Linked DNA regions of Daphnia pulex. The protein of the gene in region 1 binds, or shares a complex with, the protein of each later gene. Links are inferred from orthologs where the notes say so. Each region holds a gene or a part of one and is shown in the gene's direction. Other genes may lie near its edges.

Region 1 (4,552 bases):
TAATCACCGTGATTTAGAAAAAAAGAAAAAAAAAAAATTAATATCTAAAACTTGTTGATAACAAGTTTTCAAAACCTATACGACGACGACGTCGACGCATTGGCTCTGTCCGGTGTTTGCATCTACTCACGAACGACAAATGATTTCATTGTCCCGATTATCATTTTTGACAGATCTAGACACGGGGTCAACGGTTGCGCTCCACACGACTGGAGAAATAGGTTGGATCGATTTATCACGAAGCGAATTTTCCTTTTCTTTTTTAGAGGCCTAGAAACGAGTTTTTTTTTTTTATTCCGTTCCCACGGATAACCATTTCACCCCTCTCCATTTGATCGTTTGATTCAATTCCCCCCTACTTTTTGTGATCCGTTTGAGTGGTTTACATGTGCAACAGTTGCTGCCAATCTGTCGCAACTACCCCACCACCACTTGTGGTGAAGGGGGTTTGGTCACGTGACCATCGATAGAGCATTGAGTTGATTGTTTGGGTTTTACGCTCGAGGAATACGAACAAGTCAATGCAGGAACAAGTTGGTTTAGTTCTAAGTTTGGGTATCTCGTTAACCCTTTTATCCCAACGGGAAAGACCTGATGATTTTCGTGTCTAACTGCACGGTAGATGATGAGAACCAATCAGCGCGGATCGAATGTAAAATGGGGAAAAAAAAAGGAAATTTCGGTTCGAGGCGTATATGACACAAATAAAAATATGAATGATGCAGAGCCATAGGCAGAAGAAGAAATGAATATAAATATGATGAAAGGCGCATCACGCAATGGGTAGAACGCAGAAGATGATTCCGGCGGCGCCAGTTGAATGATCAATCACGGTCTACATGATGCGGCCTTCGGATTCCTGGAGCTTGATGATGATTGCCGGTCATCTAGTTTCTACCTTCTTTTTCCGTTTTTCGTATGGTGCATCAGACTGTTTCTTTCTCAATTGCATTATTTTTTTGTGGGCTCGACAACGAGCTGCTTTCGTGATGTAGCCCACTTTTACGGCTGATTATACCATGCGCGGAATGGCAGAAAAACAATGGACGGACATGTCAACTGGATGAGGAGCTTAAAGGCGTCACGATCCCAGTCAAAAACAAATCGACAGGTCCTTTTTCCAATCGGCTTCACTAAAAGGGAAAGTTGCTGGAAAGATTTGGACGATGTCACTTTTTCCCCTGTATGATGGATGGGGGGATATTTCATCCCTACGGAAATCAGACAATATAAAAATATATTTCTAGGCCTAGTATTCCTCTTGGGTCTTTTATGATCGGCCCCAAAATTCTTTGAGAAGCTCCCTTCTTTCGGCTTTAATTACTTTCTTCGGGGAATTCTATTCTACATGTTTGTGAAATAGAAGAAACCAAGTCATGAACTTGTTAGACTCGCAATCAAAGTTTCATCTAGAATATACCACAAATACAAATAACTCTGTGGTTGAGAAAAATCGTTATTATAGGCGACACGTTTGGCCGAGTGACAGAATACTGGAAGAAGAATAGGCGCAATTTCAATTTTGTTCTTGTGTATTATAATTTTTCTTCTCTGTGTGCAGCAAGAAAACCCGCGGAGATTGCAAGGAGAAAGGAAGAGAACAAGTCGGACTCTGATTGGTTGTCGGTGGTTTTGCCTCGAGGCCAGTTATTCTGATAGAGCGACTCCCTCCGGCCAGTCGAGAAGCGTCCGTTGAACGGGAAGGATGTACTGTGTCGCTGCTGCTTGAATTTCTTCCATTTTTCTCTGTGTGCATCTGAGTTTAACAAAAAATCTCTTTACTGGAAAAGTGTGTAAAAACAAGAGAAAAAGTGCATCACCATGACCCAGTGGCTGAAAGTGTTGGTGTTTTGAGTGATTTAATTTTTCATCTATTCAACACAAAGAGGGAGAGAAGAAAGAAAGAAACGTTAAGTGTGTGTGAGTCCCTGTTTTTGTTGCTGCCATTAAAAATGGGGACCGACCGCAGTGGATTACTGATGCTGTTGCTGGGCATTCTCGTCTTCTTCTCAGCTTCAGTTCAAGGTAACCTTGACGTTTTTGTCTCGAATATTCGTGTGGCTTAAAATTACCTCATGACGATTGTTTCATTAAAGGTAGGGGGGAGTCTGAAAAAAGTAGTTGGGATGACGGTTAGAGTTTTGTTGCATCTGCTCTTCTTTTCAAAAAAAGACGCCGGGCCCCGTAGGGCTTTACATTTCCCACGCATTTAAATCCCCCCTCCAACCGACGCTCTCATTGTCCTTCTCTCTCCCCCCCCCCCCCCCCCTCTCCGACCTGTTGATCGACGTTGCCGAGATCTCAGCAAATCATTTTATTTATTTTTTAAAATTAAAAAAAGAATATGGTGATGACCAACATATCCGGCGAATAAAGACATCGTGAGATGATTAAGTTTCAAGACATTTTCATCAGCCAAGACATTTTGGTGGTGTCACATAGCGTTAGGCCACATGTTATTTGATAGTCATGAGTTAATGATGTTAGACAATAGCGTCGTATGTCCATTGAATCGTATCCTCTATCAGGGCGGAAGTGCATGATAGTGGACCCGTTTCCGTTGCTCTTTTTGTGTGTGTGTATTATCATTCACTCAAATCAATAATAATAATTAACTGTAATTTTTTTTCTTTTTTTTTTATTTATTCCAGGATTCGTTTCGTGTTCGCCCAATCCCTGCAAGAATGGAGCGTCGTGCGTCTCCAACCCGCGCGGCGAGTCTTACTGCAGGTAACGTCCATTGTTGAAAGTCTACAGGGGAGATCTATCCCCCCCCCCCTCTCTCTCTCTCTCCAATGGTAGAGTCTCTCTCGCTCAGAAGCGTGGGAAACAAGCTGGTCTGCATAGTTTGGGCTATTGAAACCACCTACCGTCAGCCACCCTACCACCACCACCTTGTCCACTTTTTTTTTTTGTTCCATCCGGTTTGGGCCCGAGCTGCTCACGTACTGCCTCCAGCTCTTTTTCTTTGTCTGGTAGTGGAGGTGGTAGTAGAAGGGGGGGAACGTTGATTTTTTATTTTTGGGGATTATGCTTTGATACACATGGTCCAGTTGCTCCAATCACTTGTGAAACAAATGATTAACTCTTTTTATTTTTATTTTTTACAGCTGTCCGCCGCAATACGTGGGCGAGTACTGCCAATTTGCCAACCCCTGCCATACGGGACCCGGACCTCGGTGCCAAAATGGCGGCACTTGCGCCGTCAAAATGTCGACTAATGCCGTGCCCAGCTTCTCCTGTTCGTGTCCGCTGGGTTACTCGGCCTCGCTGTGCGAGATTCCCGTGCCCAACGCCTGCGACACTGGGCCGTGCCAACACGGCGGAACGTGTCTACTCCGCACGCTGGATAACTACACCTGCGCCTGCTCGTCGGGATTCCGCGGCGCCAAATGCGAAGCTGTCGACCACTGCGCCCTGCATCCGTGCAAAAACGGTGCCCAGTGCACGTCTTTGTCGGACTCTCACCGCTGCACTTGCGCTCCTGGATTCGCTGGCCCGACGTGCGCTGTGGACATTGACGAGTGTAAACGCAACCCGTGCATCCACGGTCGCTGTGTCAACACCCACGGATCATACAAGTGAGTCCAGTCGTATTGACTCTTGTCGTCAACCATCTGTTGATCTTTCTTGGCATCCTTATCTCGACGTCATGATTGTCAAATGATTACCAAGCTGACTCAACAAAGTTGTTGACGCCGACCAAAGAAAGTCCGAGGGGAAATTTTTTCGTCACATCTTTATTATTATCTTCTATTCAACATTTTTTTAAAAATGTAGTTTCCTTCCAAAAATATTAAAAGAGGACAAAAAAGAAATTAAATTTTTCAAGGCTTTCATTGTCGAGTTAGCGTGGGAACGGCCGAGGCGAAAACAAGTCCATTAAATCGCCGTGGTCAGTAGACACCAGATTGAATTTATTTGTACTTTCTCGTCACGTGTCTGTGTGTGTCTCGTCTCATGTTTGTATCATGCCGGGCGCTAATCATCCGTTTGTATCCGTTTACTTTTTTTATTTTCCAGATGTAACTGCCACACGGGTTATACTGGCCAGAATTGCGAAAATCAGTATGTGCCATGCAGTCCGTCTCCATGCCAGAATGGTGGTGCGTGCAAAGCCATCGATTCTCTCAACTACGAATGCCGTTGTCCGCCTGGTAAGTCTCATAAAATTTGATTGAACCTTTTATTCCTCTTCTTTCCGGTAAATTTATGACAACTGAAACGAATTGTTGGTCCCAACAACCAAAAAGAAACAACAACAACATTGAATCTGGTTAGAGTAGCCATAAAGTCATTGTCGGCTGTTAAAATGAAGTTTAAATCTAAAGTCATCAGATTTCGGATGTGCTTGGTTTCCATCGGTGGGAACATTCCCACACACACAAGAAAGCCAAAACTTGTTATACCCTCGGGGCAAACCTCGTCCATCCAGAGAGACTTGAATATAAATATCCGAGCCCCTCTCTCTCTCTCTCTCAAATCTCTCCAGGCTCTTTTATGTTCCGACCCCTCCACCTTTCTCTAAAAAAAAGAACACCTGGGCGATGAC
Region 2 (3,281 bases), on another chromosome or scaffold:
CACACATCAAGATCACTCTCAACCGGTCGACGCTCTTTGAAGATTCGCACCATCAGATTATGCGCTTGCCCGCCTACGAGCTCCGCAGGCGGCTGTACGTCATTTTCCGCGGCGAGGAGGGCCTTGATTACGGAGGAGTGGCTAGGTAAAATTATTATTAATTAAATACCCCCTTTGCGTCCCTTGAAGTGTGCGCTAATTGGACACTGAAGAGGAAACTGATTTTTCTATTCATTTTTTTTTTGTTTTGACAGGGAATGGTTTCTCTTGCTGTCACACGAAGTGCTAAATCCCATGTACTGCCTCTTTGAATACGCCAACAAGAATAACTACAGCCTTCAGATCAATCCGGCGTCCCACGTCAATCCCGATCACCTGCACTATTTCAAGTTTATCGGTCGATTCATCGCCATGGTATGGATGATGGCCGACAAATCTCTTTCGGCTTTACAGAATTTGGGTCGATCGAGGCCGGAATGACATTCACGATCCTTTCTTTTTGTTTGTTTTTTTATTTGTGTCCTTGCACACGACAACAGGCTTTGTATCACGGACGATTCATCTACTCGGCTTTCACGCTGCCGTTCTACAAGCGCATGCTGAACAAGAAGCTGACGACCAAAGACATCGAGTCGGTGGATCCGGAATTCTACAATTCGCTCCTGTGGGTCAAGGACAACAATCTGGAAGAGTGCGGATTGGAGCTTTACTTTTCGGCCGATTTCGAGGTCCTCGGACAGTTGACTCACCACGAATTGAAGCCCGGCGGCGATAACGTTCGCGTCAACGAGGAAAACAAGGAAGAATACTTGCGGTGAGTCATTTCCAATTCGAAATGATTTTTCCCTTTTTTGATTTCATTAACCGGATTGAATTGGCTTGGATTTAGATTGATGACGGATTGGAGGATGAACCGAGGCATTGAGGAGCAAACGAAGGCCTTTTTGGACGGCTTCAACGAAGTGGTTCCGCTCGAATGGCTTCATTACTTTGACGAGCGCGAGCTGGAGCTGATGCTCTGCGGCATGCAGGAGATCGACATCGACGACTGGCAGCGCAACACGGTCTACCGCCACTACACCCGCAACTCGAAGCAAGTCCAATGGTTCTGGCAGGTACTAATTTGGGTTGAAAGTCCACTGTTTGGTGTGTCCGCTCTCTTGATTCATCTCAATCTCCCTTTGCGTTGTTATTATTACAGTTTGTACGCGCCATGGACAACGAGAAGAGGGCCCGTTTACTGCAGTTCGTCTGCGGTACGTGCAAAGTGCCCGTCGGAGGATTCGCCGAGCTCATGGGTAAGACAATTTTTTCTCACTCTTTCTTTCTTTTATCTTTTCCCCCTTCAATTTCGTTGTCCAGATTCGATTTTGTCTTGTGTTGTTCTTTCACTTCCGGCGACGTCCCGTTATGGTGTGAACCGACTGTGTTGTCTTGTGTGTGCGGTTACGTCAAAACCGTACCCACAACCACGCGCCCATCTGTCGATCCGCATCATTCTTTCATTCTCTCTCTAAAACTTTGCGGTGGAATGAATTGTTCACTTTTCCGGCTCGTTGATCTCCTTTTTTCTCTAGTTGTTTTTTGGGTACTTTTTATTGTTTAATCAACCATTGAATTGTTTTTTTTTTTTGTTCTTTTTCCCTTTCAGGGAGCAATGGACCCCAGCGATTCTGCATCGAGAAGGTGGGCAAAGAGACGTGGCTGCCACGCTCGCACACCTGCTTCAATCGGCTAGATTTGCCACCCTACAAGAGTTACGAGCAGCTTGTGGAGAAGATGACGTTCGCCATCGAGGAAACGGAAGGCTTCGGTCAGGAATAATAAAACAAATATCAGAAAATGAAATCGTATGGTAGCGAAATGTTTCGAGTGGGGAGATAGGCTGACCTTTATCCTTACAGAAAAATAAAAAAACTGTACAATAGATTGTGCATAATTAGGCCACTACTATTCTTTGTTTCACACATTAGTACCTTTCTACCTACTGCCCCTCTATATCTCCCCCCAACCCGATCCTCCCTTTATACTATAAAATATTTCTCCCATCTTCTTCTTCTCCTTATAATATATCGTGTCGACGTCGGCCTATCTCTTGTTAAAAAAAAAATAATTGAACGACGTTACTTTCGACGCGAATGTGAGAATCGTGTGAGTGTCTGTGTGTTTTGACAATAATATGTTGATTGTTTACGTACTAAAAAGTGAGCAATCCCCCCCCCCTTAGATTTAAAACGAAAAGAAAAAAACCCAACAAAACCAACAAAAAAAAATCGATAGAGTTTATTATTAACTTTTTTTTTTGTTCTTTGTGGGAGCGAGGGTGTGTGTGTTATTTCACGCGTTTCCGTCATGTATAACCCCCAACCGCCGAGGCGACGCTGGACGTGTTTTTTGTCCGTTCAATTTTTCTATCATTCTGAATGATGTACTATTTCTGTTGATTTTTTTTTTTTTTTTTGCATACCGCACTGGATGAAATAAAAATAAACTTCTACTATAAGCGAAATAAAAGAATTGAGTTGTTGAGTTCATTGACGTTAGGTGGCGTTGAATTGAAAAGTGAAATTTTCCCGCCAGATGGACTGGGAAAGATTCGTCTGCATCGTTTGGCAGCAGGCGTGAGTATATTTTCGCGCTGATATTGGTCTAGGATGCGTGTCTGATTCGAGATCAACCAGTTTACAGATTCCTGCCCCCATGTTATTAGAAGATTTGAAATATCCCTTAACGGCCCCGTTTCATCTACGCAGCCACCGCCTGTAGCGAGAGCAACACGTAAGTCGATTCATCTTCTTTCTTATAAACTGGCCATAGTTGAGTTATCATTAGGCTGCATCACGCGATCTATTTCACATGCAACTCTTGCTTGAAAACAAAAACAAACCTCCATGACACAGTGGGTCTTCAATTTGGACCGACTAAATGATTTGGAAGGACTTTTGAATGCTACCACTCTCTTCGCAGGAAAGCCCAAGGTTTTTTGTTCTTCAAATATTGAATCACATTTCAAACATTACATTGACTGACCGAGTCCCACATGAGTATTTGATCAGCCCTGATTCGAAAGTAGTTGCCCACAGGTTCCCATGGAGCAGGAGTGCAGTGCAGCATAGCAGTCCAGGCTTCGTAATTTATTTAGAAGGTCTGCGAAACAGATATTTCAACCCCCCAACAGAAGTAAAGAGGGGAATGGATCAATTTTAAGCAAATATAAAGCACGCTCACGCGGGAGGGGTCGATCGATTGGTTTCCAGGGAGAGAGAGAAAGAGAATGAAGA

The links.
Region 2: the proteins of neurogenic locus Notch protein-like (region 1) and E3 ubiquitin-protein ligase Su(dx)-like are in contact, whole or in part, in an NMR structure (PDB 2JMF), measured with the Drosophila melanogaster proteins. The link is inferred for Daphnia pulex from reciprocal best matches to the Drosophila melanogaster genes N and Su(dx). Residues at the interface, in NP_001245510.1 of Drosophila melanogaster: Lys2323, Gln2324, Pro2326, Tyr2328, Glu2329, Asp2330, Lys2333; in NP_001259898.1 of Drosophila melanogaster: Glu528, Arg530, Thr532, Ala533, Ala534, Glu536, Phe538, Val540, His542, Arg545, Thr547.

The regions. Positions count from the first base shown.
Region 1 is NC_060028.1:5,082,241-5,086,792, reverse strand, and holds the start of neurogenic locus Notch protein-like, read left to right. Parts: upstream 1-1,676; 5' UTR 1,677-1,952; coding exon 1,953-2,025; intron 2,026-2,651; coding exon 2,652-2,730; intron 2,731-3,110; coding exon 3,111-3,581; intron 3,582-4,023; coding exon 4,024-4,157; intron 4,158-4,552. UniProt on the Drosophila melanogaster protein: Essential signaling protein which has a major role in many developmental processes. Functions as a receptor for membrane-bound ligands Delta and Serrate to regulate cell-fate determination.
Region 2 is NC_060026.1:2,738,116-2,741,396, forward strand, and holds the end of E3 ubiquitin-protein ligase Su(dx)-like, read left to right. Parts: coding exon 1-145; intron 146-254; coding exon 255-414; intron 415-539; coding exon 540-814; intron 815-889; coding exon 890-1,115; intron 1,116-1,201; coding exon 1,202-1,298; intron 1,299-1,651; coding exon 1,652-1,824; 3' UTR 1,825-2,503; downstream 2,504-3,281.